Linked DNA regions of Caenorhabditis elegans. The protein of the gene in region 1 purifies or fractionates together with the protein of each later gene. This does not show direct contact. Each region holds a gene or a part of one and is shown on either strand. Other genes may lie near its edges.

The links.
Region 2: the proteins of drh-3 (region 1) and mlc-2 purify together in Caenorhabditis elegans (affinity purification with mass spectrometry, with the first as the bait; one study listed by BioGRID). This does not show direct contact.

The regions. Positions count from the first base shown.
Region 1 is NC_003279.8:7,817,980-7,827,207, forward strand, and holds drh-3 (Helicase ATP-binding domain-containing protein), read left to right. Parts: upstream 1-2,851; 5' UTR 2,852-2,863; coding exon 2,864-2,961; intron 2,962-3,020; coding exon 3,021-3,194; intron 3,195-3,447; coding exon 3,448-3,523; intron 3,524-3,570; coding exon 3,571-3,652; intron 3,653-3,697; coding exon 3,698-4,222; intron 4,223-4,409; coding exon 4,410-4,535; intron 4,536-4,581; coding exon 4,582-4,763; intron 4,764-4,844; coding exon 4,845-5,026; intron 5,027-5,223; coding exon 5,224-5,549; intron 5,550-5,985; coding exon 5,986-6,266; intron 6,267-6,309; coding exon 6,310-7,218; intron 7,219-7,657; coding exon 7,658-7,758; intron 7,759-7,814; coding exon 7,815-7,953; intron 7,954-8,000; coding exon 8,001-8,107; intron 8,108-8,209; coding exon 8,210-8,261; 3' UTR 8,262-8,399; downstream 8,400-9,228. Other genes in the region: D2005.4 (TPR_REGION domain-containing protein), read left to right, coding at 1-31, 84-303, 351-442, 493-1,161, 1,221-1,226; D2005.7 (NAM-associated domain-containing protein), read left to right, coding at 1,600-1,789, 1,840-2,052, 2,194-2,258; glna-3 (Putative glutaminase 3), read right to left, coding at 8,512-8,874.
Region 2 is NC_003284.9:17,454,436-17,459,002, reverse strand, and holds mlc-2 (Myosin regulatory light chain 2), read left to right. Parts: upstream 1-2,416; 5' UTR 2,417-2,435; coding exon 2,436-2,573; intron 2,574-2,620; coding exon 2,621-2,753; intron 2,754-2,807; coding exon 2,808-2,956; intron 2,957-3,009; coding exon 3,010-3,102; 3' UTR 3,103-3,211; downstream 3,212-4,567. Other genes in the region: C36E6.2 (Nbr1 FW domain-containing protein), read right to left, coding at 3,568-3,755.

The DNA.
Region 1 (9,228 bases):
TGACGAGAAGAAAATTGTTGATAAATGGGCGGTATGTTTAATATTAATTTTAAAAAAACATGAGAACAATTGCCGATTTTCAGAATATGGGCCATCATTGGTTTTCCATCTTTTTCCTTTCTCATCGTTTCGATATTCTCAAATTCTCGACCACAATCGCTCAGTTGCCATGGTCATCTGCAGACATTTGGAACGAGGAGAAAAAAGATCCATCCGATGTGACAAGCTATTTGCACTTGGCAAAACTTCCAACCGCGTGGCCAAACTACTGTAATCTCGATGTCATCGAGAAAACGGTTTCAGGTGAATCTTGATTTTTCTTTATTAGTGAGTTTTTTATTTGTATTCAGATCACATTCCACAAGAAGTAGTTCGTACACAGCTCTATGAAGCAATGAAAAAGTACGCCGCCGAGATGCCGATAGATGAGAATTGGAAGAAGGTTTGGGATCGAATATGACTTTATAGAAAAAACCTCATTCGAAATTTCAGAATCTCCTCAGACATTTCACAATTAAGATCAAATTTTTGACATCACACAAAAAAATTGATAAGGAAGAGCTGAAGGAAGACACAAAGCAGTCAAAAGAAGATAGCAAGGTACCTGAGAAGAGCCCAGAAGTACTTCCTGGAGACGCGGAAAAGTGTGAAGAATCGGAAGAAGTAACCACAAAAGCGTCTTCCGATGCAAAAGAAGGAGTGATCGCAGTAGATGCAGTGGCTGCTGAACCGGATATCGTTCAAGAAAATGCGACTAGCACAGATGATGCAAATAATGAAGACCAGGAGAAAGCTTCACAGGTCGTTGCCAGCTCTGTAATCTCTGAAGAAGTGTTGAAAGAAGAATCAACCGGAGACTGTGTAAAAACTTCGAAAGATCATATGGATTCAGAAACTGCTGGTAATTGTTCCGATTCTGTGATCAACGATGAGCCGGTGGAGGCTGAAGACCCCGACAATGTGAAAGTTGAACGGAAAGAAGAGGACGAGTCAATTGACGGAGTATCATGCGATAACGAGAAAATCCCACTGAAACCCTTAGCACAATGTGGCAAGAACTGTTTGTACGGCTTCTACCCGGACGATAAGTGGGCTCTTTTGAATGAGCCAGTAATCAATGAAATTTATCGGCTACGCGAAAAACACGGCTACTCGAACAAGGTAATTTATTTTTTTAGAAATGCCGTTAAATAATTCCAATAACTGAGTTTATTTTCCAGATGTAATCTTCGTGCAATACTTGTAACATATCACAAATGCATTCATCATCGTGATGAGTTCAACAGTTTTATTCAAAAATTTTGAAAATGCTCAAGTGACGAACTTTTTTTCTTTTTTTTTTTGTTAAGATTATTTCATTTCCCTTTAAAATTTTCTCTATAGAGCTATAGTATCGTTGTTCGTGTTTTCTAATAAACGCTTTAAAGTTTTGTTCTATAGGTTTTTATTGTTATCCAATATTGGTTTTAACCAGAAATATGCACTACATGTTATGACACTTTTCATATTAGTATTACTTTTTATTGTTTAACACGTTAACTTTACCGAGGTTTTGCAGCCCTACCCGTGTCCTATTTTATGCTGATATTCATCTTCCAGATGGGCAACAAAAAAAATAAATCAAGTGGGTCCCGAAAGAATCATTCTCAGCATTATTCTCAGCCAACAATGACCGTAGAGGAGTGCTTGAAGGAGTACGAGAACACAGGAAATTTCGCCAAGTTCTACCCGAATTACATTTTCCAACGGTTGCCAAAAGAGTTCCTCCAAAAATACTTAGCCTCTAAAAGTTCGTTTTACAAGAAAAGTTGACAAGTTTAACAACCTTCGCAATTTCAGAAAATAAAAATATTTCTAAAAATCCATCACTAAGTTGTTCAAACTCTACATTGGACAATATGAAAGAGACGTCGAAAAGTATCTATGTGGACGTGGATCCAGATGATCCTCTCTCCGATGAAGCATTCACTGCTCAACATCCTGTGGAAGAATGGTTTCGACTTCCTCTCGAATGGCGCATTGAGATCGAAAGGCAGCGTTTTGTGAAAAAAGGTATTTTATTCATGGCTAGAAAATTAATCCTACAAAAAACCGCTTAAAACTCGATTTTTGAGTAAAGAAAGAATTTAACAATTTTTCATATGGATAATTTATTAAATATCGAAAAAAAGCATTTCTCTTATTTTCTTTCAGAACGCGCCGACCGTGCTGCTGAAGCTGCCAGGAACTCCGCTGAACTTCTAAAGCCAGACGCTTAAAAGTGCATCAACGATTCGTTTTAACGTTGTAAAATGTTATTTTCGATGTTTTCTTTTCATCCAGTTATTCGTATTAATTTGCCATTCATCAGCTGAAATTCATCCCAACAACCTGCCGAAAGAATTTTATTTTCTGTTCTATCTTTCAAATTTCCTTTTCTTTTCTTCATTTTCTGTTGGCAGCTGCTCGTATTTCCATCACCGGTTCCCGTGAATTTGCAGTTTTAATGAAAGTTTTATTCTTGTTTTAAATATTATGATTTTATTTTCTCACAAGGTTGAAGAGCCAAAACATTTATTTATGTTGTAGAATTTAAATACTAATTTTATTGATTCCGCCGTTGCTCATCGTTAAATATTGAATACTGAAACCAAAACTTCCCTTCCTGACACTACTTGCCCTTCTTTAACACTAATAATGGTTTTCTGTTCATTCATGTATTTCCCTCTTAACTTTTTATCATTGGCAAGAGGAAGAGAAAATCATTAATGTGAAAACCTCTGCCACACTTGTTTATATTTTGTGCGCCAGTTTGAACAACATGTCTTTTTGTCGTTTTGTCGGCAAAATTTAATTTAATAATTTCCTACAGATATTTTCGATAATGCAACCAACTGCAATACGTTTAGAAGATTACGACAAATCGAAGCTTCGCCTTCCGTTTGAGTCTCCATATTTTCCAGCGTATTTTCGTCTTCTCAAGTAAGAAAATTATACATTTCCCCCCTTGCACTCGATCAAATAATTAAATATTATTTTAGATGGAAATTCCTTGATGTATGCGTGGAGAGTACACGAAACAACGATATCGGATATTTCAAACTATTTGAATCGCTGTTCCCGCCAGGAAAATTGGAAGAAATTGCCAGAATGATCATTGACGAGCCAACTCCAGTTTCTCATGACCCGGACATGATTAAAATCAGAAATGCCGAGTAAGACGACAGAGAAATCATGTATTAGAAAAACGTTCCAACGAAAACAATTTCTTCGGTGTTATCTATATCTGTGACGGCAAGGATGTCGAAACGGAGTTTTGAAAACATAAAATTGTTTTAATGACTTAAATTTTTATAAAAAGTTTAAATATCGTGAGTTTTCGAGTCACAGAAGCTTAAAAGGTCAAAAAAAAGTATTATGGTGTCTGGAATTTTCGTGCCATATTTTTTTTAAATACCAATTTTTCAGTCTCGACGTTAAAATCAGAAAACAGGCAGAAACATACGTTACATTGCGTCACGCACATCAGCAGAAAGTTCAAAGGGTAAAAACACTTTTGAAAAACATTTAATAAAATAATTTTTATTTCAGAGAAGATTCTCGGAATGTTTTTTGAACACTGTTTTGTTCGATGAGAAGGGACTCAGAATTGCTGACGAAGTGATGTTTAACTGTAAGTAATCGTGAAATTTCAAACGTTTTGAACTGTAAAATTCAGACGATAAAGAACTTTATGGATACTCACACTGGGAAGATCTTCCTGATGGCTGGTTAACTGCTGAGACTTTCAAAAATAAATTCTACGATGAAGAGGAAGTTACCAATAATCCATTTGGATATCAGAAGCTTGATAGAGTGGCTGGAGCTGCACGTGGAATGATTATTATGAAGCATCTGAAATCGAATCCACGTTGTGTTAGTGAAACTACAATTCTCGCTTTTGAAGTATTTAACAAAGGTAATCATCAACTATCAACTGATTTGGTCGAAGATTTGCTAACCGAAGGACCAGCGTTCGAGCTGAAAATCGAGAATGGAGAAGAGAAAAAATATGCTGTGAAGAAATGGAGTCTTCATAAGACTCTCACCATGTTTCTCGCAATCATCGGATTCAAATCGAATGACAAAAAAGAGAAAAATGAACACGAAGAGTGGTATTACGGATTTATTGATGCAATGAAGAATGATCCAGCTAATCGAGCGGCTCTCTACTTTTTGGATAAGAACTGGCCAGAAGAGCTTGGTAAGTTTTTTTTTGTTTGGAAATTAAATAGCGGCAAACATTTTGTACTTCAGATTTCAAAATACTGAAATTATTTTAATACAATTTTAAATAATGCCTAACTTTTTATTATTCGGCCATCTCATGCTATTTGATGTATTTTACGAATTTCGATTTACAATCTAGGCTTAACTAAATCAATTTTCAGAAGAACGAGAGAAAGAACGTGACCGTATCCGCCTTACCCTACTGAAAAGTCAGCGGACTAACGAGGAAGCTGTCGGCGAGGATGTTTGCACGACAATACGTCCACAACCGAAAGACAGCGGCTACAGTAAGATTATATTTCCAACATTTAGTGCAAATTTTCCTTTTTCCAGATCCAGATGCGGTGGTTACTGAACTTGTATTGCGTACTTATCAAGAAGAACTTGTCCAACCGGCTCTCGAAGGAAAGAATTGTGTTATTGTTGCTCCGACTGGTTCTGGTAAAACAGAAGTGGCAATTTATGCGGCTCTCAAACATATTGAAGAACGAACATCCCAAGGAAAGCCTTCCAGAGTATGTTTTTTTTTTAATTTTCTCGTCAAGTTCTAATATTATTTCCCCTTGATATAGAAGCAATAAAATTTTATTTTCCAGGTTGTGCTCCTTGTGCCGAAAATCCCGCTTGTCGGTCAACAAAAAGACAGATTCCTGAAGTATTGTAACGGAATGTACGAAGTTAATGGTTTTCATGGATCCGAGAGCAGTGTCAGTGGAACAGGACGTCGTGATGAAGTAATTGCTACTCATGTATCAGTTATGACTCCTCAAATTCTGATGTGAGTTAATGGAATCAGGTTCATTAAATTCTGAATCGAAAATTTCTGATATAACTCATTAATTTTTTATTTTACTTTTTTTTTTCAAAAAAAATTATAAATTATAAAAAGAGTGCAATTTTAATCAAGATATATAAAATGTTTAATTTTTTCGGATCGAGCTCTGGTTTTTATAATACCCGAACTAATTATTTCAGCAACATGCTTCAATCGGTACGTCAAAATGAGCGTTTGTATGTGAGTGATTTCTCAATGATGATCTTCGATGAAGTACATAAAGCTGCAAAAAATCATCCATATGTGTTGATTAATCAAATGGTTCAAGAATGGAAGTATGAAAAACCACAAATCATTGGTCTGACAGCTTCATTGAGTGTCAAAGTTGATGGACAAAAAGACGAGAATCAGATGCTTAATGATATTTATAATATGCTCGCATTGATCAACGCTCCACATTTGAGTACAATCACTCGCCAATCGAGCATAGATGAGCTCAATGAGCATGTTGGAAAACCAGATGATTGTAAGTTTGTTCTCAAGTTGGAAATTTAGTTTTTTTTTTCTTAAAAACCATAAATAAATTTTAAAATACAAATAAGATAAATTTCTAGGTGTATCAAATTATAAAAATATTTATTTTCAAGTTTACACAGTTCAAAAAAATTTGAAAATTGTAAATTGTTCTTGTAAAATGAAAAATGGTTTCTAAATGAAGTGTTGTAAACAGGAATTGAAAAAAAAAACCTTCGGAAGCTGAAAACCCACTTTAGAATCAAAACCACGGTATTGAAATTTCCTTTGTTTTCCCTTATTTCTCATGGTATTGTTTAACTTCAAGCTAATCCGGCAATTTCAAAGTAAATTCCTCATTTACTCTATTCCAAAAATAACCAATTACTTGTTTTCTCTTCGGAATATGAAATTTCATGAGAGAATTATTTCAAAAAAATTCTTCTCAGCTGTCGAACTATGCTTGCCTGCCAAAGAAAATATCCTTCGAGATTACATCGAACGATACCTTAACCACGCCCATGGCAAATTTCTCGAAGAATTAGCAAGCATGTCTAAATCAACTGGCCGCAACAACACTATCCCACCGAATATGATTAACACGTTTAAAAAGAATCAACCGAAGAATTATGAGTACTACGATTCATTACTTCAAGGTATTATTCAAGAGTTGAACAAATTGAATGTTCCTGAGAAATGGAATTCTCAAACTTGGGCGAAATACATGAAGGTTTGATTCATTTTCAAAGATTCTTGTAAATGAAATGATTTAGGTATATCTCGAAGCTCGCGGAATCGTTGATCTGATGCCTGCGATGGTTGCATTCAAATACATGGAAAAAGCTATTGGGAAATTGAATGAAAGTCATTCAGAGACAGTCGAATACAGCACCTTCATCAAAGACCATGATACTTTGAAACAAACAATTCAATCCGTTGAACCAGAAATTGTTCTACGTCTCAAGAATACACTCACCAATCAGTTCCACGTGGCTCCTGAATCTCGAGTTATTATTTTCGTAACACAAAGAAGCACCGCTCAACGTGTCAGTGATTTCTTGAACGAATCTAAAGTTTTAGATCAATTTGGTAATTATGGTGAACAAATGGTTGGATATGTTCTCGGAACAAACAAACAGGGCGCTGTACAGCAGACTTCACAAGAACAACAATTGACACTTGATAAATTCAACAATGGAAGACTTAAAGTAATTGTGGCAACGTCAGTTGTTGAAGAAGGTCTCGATGTTACTGCATGTAATCTTATTATCAAGTACAACTGTTCATCAGGATCAGCCATTCAACTTGTTCAACAAAGAGGTCGTGCACGTGCCAAAAACTCTCGTTCTGTGCTTTTATCAGTGAAGAGTAGTATCAATGAAACCGAGACTAACGCGTTAATCTCTGAAAAGTATATGAGACTTTGTGTGAAGAAGATCACAGAGAATGGCGAGAAACAATTGGCTGCAGAAGTGAAACGAGTCGCTGAACTAAATGCGGCTGAAAGGAAACGAAATCTGGAAGAGCAACTCAATTTGAGATTACGACATGAGAATAAGATTTATAAATTGATGTGCAGCAATTGTTCAAAAGAGTTCTGCAAGAGTATTTATATCAAAAAAGTGTTCTCGAATTACATGGTGTTCGATCCAAGTGTATGGAGATTTTTGCATGTTGAATCGGTACGTTTGATGAATGCTCAAAAACCGGAGCCGGCTTGTCGAAAATATAATTTTAATGAATTTTGTAAGATTATACTCGTAGACCAGGGCTGTAAAACCATTTTCCCAAAAAACCGAAACCTAAAATTTCTCAAAAAAAAAGACAATTAAAAAAATTTCTGTCACTAAAAAATCGTTTTAAAGTAAAAAAATCGCTTTATTCATCTGAAATTAACTTATTCAGGTTGAAACATTTATAAAGTGCTTAAAAATTACCTGGAAGTGTCGAATTGCCGATTATCAAATTGCTGAATTTCCGAACTTTGCTTTCCGACAATTGACTTTCAGGCTATTTTTGTGCAATTTCCAGATGTTTCAAGTAAATGTTTTTTTCAGCTAAGCCGACTTCTGTTTATCATAGAAACGCAATTTGTGATTGTGAAAAATTGAATTTTTTCAGAAGCGAAAGGTGAGTAAGTACTTGAGTGAGGACAATCAACCACTCAGTGATATCAAATGCTTCCATTGCAAGTTGGATGTTGGAAGAGCTTACAAAATAAGGTAATTGAAATTTAATTTATTTAAAAGTCGTTTCTTATAAAACAACATTTCTACAGAGGAACCTATTTGCCGCAACTCAGTGTCAAGGCGTTGACATTTGTTCAAGAATCAGACTATTCCTCGATGACAAAAGCAAAATGGTCGGATGTGGAACAGGATCTGTTTTATATTTCAGAAGCAATCGAGGATGACTTTGTAAGATTTTGGTCACTTGATTATTTAAAAATTGTACGAATTTACAGAGAATCATGTTGAATGCGCTCTCCGATACTGAAGAAAATATCGAAAAGAAGATTGTTCTTGATTTGGACTCACGACAACACAATAAGCAACTCGAGATGAAGAGATTGTAAGTGTGCTCTGGATTGTGATTCCTTTTCTGTTTAACACTTTCGAAGCTCAAAAAATACGGATAAACTCTCTATTATCATAATAATGCTTTCATTTTCAGCCATATTCAACAAGAACCACCAACGAAGGGAGTTGCACCAGAAGCTCAATGATCATCTCAAGGATTTCCAACTTGTACGAGAATTCAATTTTTCTTAATCTTTTTTGTTATTTTAATATCATTCATCGTGTTCTATTTACCGAGCAATTTTCATTCGATCTCTTGAATAATATAAAGCTCTATTTAGTTTTATTTTTTTAATTGATCTTTCAATTTTTCTTCCAACAATTTGACTGTAAATTAACAAATGACAAAAAATGGAATGATTTATTAATTTAAATCAATTTCTAGAACATCTATTCCTAATCATCTTGTCCTTTAAGATTGTAAACCGTAATTGCCTCTTCTAGCAGCTTAACACAAGCAGTATGATTAAAATGTTTAGCATCATCCAATGGAGTTCTATCATATCTATCACATGGATTCGGATCCTCTTGCCATTTACTCAATACGTATTCCAATGTGACAACGTCTCCTTCAGCAGCAGCCACGTGTAAAACTGTTCGATCATCATAATCTTTGCAATGAATATCATGTCCCATCAAAAGGAATCGTTTAATTGCAGCAATATCACCCAATTTTGTAGCATACATGAAACGATTCTGACCGTCATGATCATCTTTCAATTGACGACGAGGATCGATTTTCTTATTATCCGAGTAGATCTGAATTGGGATTATTATGGTTTAAGTAGAAAATGCTAATTTTTAACCAAATATATTATTCGGGATGCAGAGAAAAGTTCGTTTGGTAATCTACGTGGAAAGGCGATCCACGGACAATTGAAAACATTCCGCCCCCGAGCAATGGGTCTCGTTAGGAATTTGGCGGAATAAAAAAATAAAAATTCTACAACAAATTAAAAAATTTGACAAAATCGGCAAAACTAAATAAATGTTGCATACGGTTTTGCCGCCAAATACCTAACGAGACCCATGGTTCGGGGGCGGAGCATTTTCATTTTGCCATGGAGCGCGTTTCCAGGTCGATTTCTAAAGGAGATTCTCTCTGCGCCCCCA
Region 2 (4,567 bases), on another chromosome or scaffold:
TTACCCGCCATCGAAAAAGTTGCTCGATCGGATAAATGAGGGGATGCAATAAGGGAAAGGGAATAGATCATCCGAGCTTTAAATCTGAGCAGGGCACAACATAATCAGAATTTGTTTTGAGTTGGAAAGGAAGGTTTAAATTCAACATTTCCAACAAACAGGATAATTGAAAACTTGAAAATCTGAAACTCTTTTGTTTTGGAACTTGATTATAAATTTTAATTTTCATAACATGACTAAATGGGACATACTGAATTTATCAGATGGTTCCAGTAATATCTGTTTATAATATTTCACTAACGATAATTTTTTTTGACATATATTTTTCTGGTATAAATTATAATTTTCCTACTAATTGTTTCAACTACTTGTGAAATCTATTTGTATAGTTTTTTTTCAAGTTTTGTTAAAATGAAATAATTAATCGGGCGTATTTTAAGATAGGATGAAACAGAGCAAATATTGATTTTCACACAATCTTCAAAGTTTTGACATACGCAGTGATTTTTGATTTTAGGATTTGCAGCTATTTTTGAAATCAATAATTTTGATGTCATTGAATAACAGACAAAAATTGTGTTTCGAACTATACTCTCATTGGAGACAATTCAGAAACGATTCAGAAAAAAAAACCTTCCATCAGAATTAGTGTGACAAGAGGTTCTTACTCATATCCTAAATTAACAAGGATAACTTTTTTGATTCCTCAACTTTCAAACTTTTTCATCTGATTTTCTATTGAGTGTTCTGTCTACCAGTGCTCTTATCTGAAAACAGCTTTTAAGATAATGCGTCAGCTGGCAGAAACGCTTTTAATTTTGCTTCCTGTTTGTTAACTTATTTTTGAAACGTTTTACTTCGAAAAGAGTTAATTTTTTGGTTTGTTTGTAAATTTGAAAAAATCATTTAATGTTTATTATGAGCGTATTACAAATGTTCGTAAAAGTTATTATTATTATCACTCCACAATTTCCGTTTGTAAAATGAATAATTGAATTTTTTTTTCCAATATACATCAAACAAAATTGTGAAAAAATTGCTTTAACGAAATTGAAGCATAAACAATAGTTCTAATTCCAATTACAACAATTTGTGTAAATCAAATGTTTCCTCTGAAAACTTCAAACAGTAAACCATTAATGTTTTGAAAAGTACGATGATGGTCTGGAAAACGCGCTTTGAAAATTTGTTACAACACGTTAGAATCACAAGTTCAGATTAGCTGTCGCCTCTAAAAATCAATTGTTGAACAATGTCTTCTTCAATTTTTTGATAATCAGCAAGCACAACTACTAGAAACAAAATATACAATTTTAAAGTTGGCAAAGAAACATTGGATACAATTTTCCAGTCGCTTGGCATTTTTGTTGAACATAATTTCAATTTTTCGAAAAATTTATGTTTTGTAATGTTTTATTTTGATTTCCATACTTATGAAGTAGTAAAGATTTCTACTGGGCTCATGAGATACAAAACAATCTGAACATTCAATTTTTTATCTTCGGAAAAGTTCTTGCTAGAAAAACAATAAAAACCACTTATAAACATTCCTTTCAATTGTTCTCTTTTTACGAACTTGTTAATTTGTCTTCAGCCATTAGAAACAATATTCGATGTTACATGTTTTCATTCAACATTCAAAGTTATATTCTTTCTAATTCCTATTTTGTGTTAATGGGCCACCCTCAGTGCAACTCTGATCATTCATCTCCCAAAAATCCCTAGATTCCCTGCTCTCCACCCTCGCTTTTCTGCGCGCAGCAAAAAGCCTACCACCTTAACTTTTACCTGCTTTTGAGAGAGATGTACTTGAGAAAATATTCGAAGCCAAACAGTTGGCTTTTCCAAAAATTCTCTCCCCCATGCGTTGCCGCAACTCTGTAGATATTTGCGTTTGTCGTTTCTTCACAAACAGATATTGCGTATATCTTCCCGGCCGTGTGAGGGTGATCAGAAAGTCTGAGATCCCCAAAGAGAGCACAGACACGGCGCACGGATCACGGGCACTGCTCTTTCTAGCGCTCTTTGTGTCGAGCTTCTGCTTGGGACACATTATCTCTGCTGGCAAAACTGATCGCTGCCCGCTGTGTTACACTCTATCTCAAACGGCATCCCGGGAATCTGCCACCCTCCACCAATTGCCTACTAACTTTGCCCGCCGTGGAGAGAGCACCTCCTCTCGGTCTCTTTTCGTATCACATTCCTCCCATCCAGCTACTCCTCCTTCCCATACGCCTACCAACCAACCATTATTATCTCAATGCTCTCGACAAGATCGGGACTTGGAAAAGGCTTCTTCTTCATACTTTTCATGGGTGCATTTTTAATTTTAATTTGTTCGTTTCCCAAGCAATTTACTTCTATCATTGTTTCGACAATTTTGTGTGCTACCTGTAAACAAATAACTGAGTTTCAGGTAGAGAACCTTTTCCAACATGTCCAAGGCCGCCAAGAAGAAGTCCTCAAAGAAGCGCTCGGGATCCGAGGCCGCCCAATTCGACCAGAAGACCATCCAGGAGTTCAAGGAGGCCTTCGGAATCATGGATCAGAACAAGGACGGAATCATCGACAAGGTTAGCTTTTTTTAAGTTTTAAAATGATACTAATGAACAATTTTTAGTCTGACCTCAAGGATCTCTACGCATCCATGGGACAAATCGCCCCAGACAGCCAGATCGACGCCATGATCAAGGAGGCATCCGGACCAATCAACTTCACCGTCTTCCTCACCCTTTTCGGGGAGAGATTGACAGGTAGGCTTTTCAGATTTTCTAATGGAATTCAATTCATTATTGCAATAATTTCAGGAACTGACCCAGAGGCCACCATTGTTGGAGCTTTTGCTATGTTCGATAAGAAGGACTGCGGAAAGATCAAGGAGGACGACCTTATCAAGATCCTTCAAAACAAGAGAGGAGAGCCATTAGACGAGGATGAGGTCAAGGCTATGTACAAGGTAAATTCATTCTTTCTGAAATCATTGAAACTTACCAATTCCTCTTCTTTCAGGGAAAGCCACCAATCGAGGGAGGAGAGGTTGACTACAAGGCATTCGCTCACCTCATCACCACCGGAGCCCAAGACGAGCTCGCCAGCGCCTAAACATCCGGCAATTGCACACAAATCTTACATTCTTTCAAATAATACTTTCTCATTTATTTCTCCAATTATAATCTTTCAATGGATTAGTGCAATAAATGGTGGTGATAAAATTAGTTGATACCAATGACTTCTAATGTTATTTTATAAAAAGGCTAATAGGTATTGGGGAAAAAAGTGATGAATAGTTTGAAAAAGAAATGCGAGAGGTGGAAAAGGCAACAAATCTGTACTGGGTGTCTATCACAATTGGAACAAATCTTAATGAGAAAATATGTTTCAATAAGGTTCATTACAGAGTTACCAGATGTCTGATAACCCGAGCTACGTTGAATTTTAAAAGTAAAATAGTTAGAAGATTACTTTTGATTCAATAACTGCATTGAAATTTACATTTGATTAAGATATCCCACGGTAAATAATTGATGATCATCACAATAATAACAATAGAATTTACAAGGTCTCGAATCATTCCATCATGTCCTCTTGAGGTGGATCAGGCACTGGAGATGGATGTGTCCCACTGCTACTTGGTCCTTCCACAAATGACATCACAGCGAGTTGCCGATGGAATGGATCCATTGGTTGCGCGGAGACTTCCATCGCGGCTTCTGCTTCAGTAAGTGGCCGCACTCGAATGATAACCCAGATTGATTCTGAAAATGTGGAAACATTAAAATTATGAGGTTTCTGAAGTAGCTGAATAATATTTAAGTCTTTGAAGAAATTCGATTAGTTTCAAAAAAATTATCTTTGCTGATTTGTACAAGCCGTTTTGAACCTGAGTTTATATTTACGTTTTAAGGTTTATTTTAAATTTATTTTCTATATTTCACTGATTTTCTTCATTTTTGTGGTTTTTTAATCGGAAAATAAAAGAAATATACAAGAAAAATGCAAATAGTTCATGAAAAAATCACTGAAATTGCCTAAAACTCTGAAATTATGTGATACGACGACAACGAGCCTGAAATTAGTATATTTTACAGTTTTAGGCAATTTCAGTGATTTTTTCATGAACTATTTGCATTTTTCTTGTATATTTCTTTCATTTTCCGATTAAAAAACCCCAAAAATGAAGAAAATCAGTGAAATAATGAAAATTAATAAAAAAAGATAATGAAAATAATGCAATCGTGCTCCAACGAACGAGTTCAATTGGCGGAAATTCAAATAGAAATTAGGGGAAAACTGACATTTTTTCAATTTTCAAAAAATCATATAAAATCAGGGAAATTTTTTTAAATTTTTTTATCATGATATTCGGCCATTGTGGTACCATAGGCATGTTTTGAAGCGATTTCCCCACAGGGTGTAGTCCACCTTTAAAGCTCTAATTATTAAATACTTCTACTCCAAAAATTAACGAGAAAGGAAGAAAAGAGCCAGTAGAGAAAATGTTTGAAATTACTCATTTTCAGAATCTCATATCTCTGCAAACTGTTCAAAATTTTAGAAAGTTGCTGAA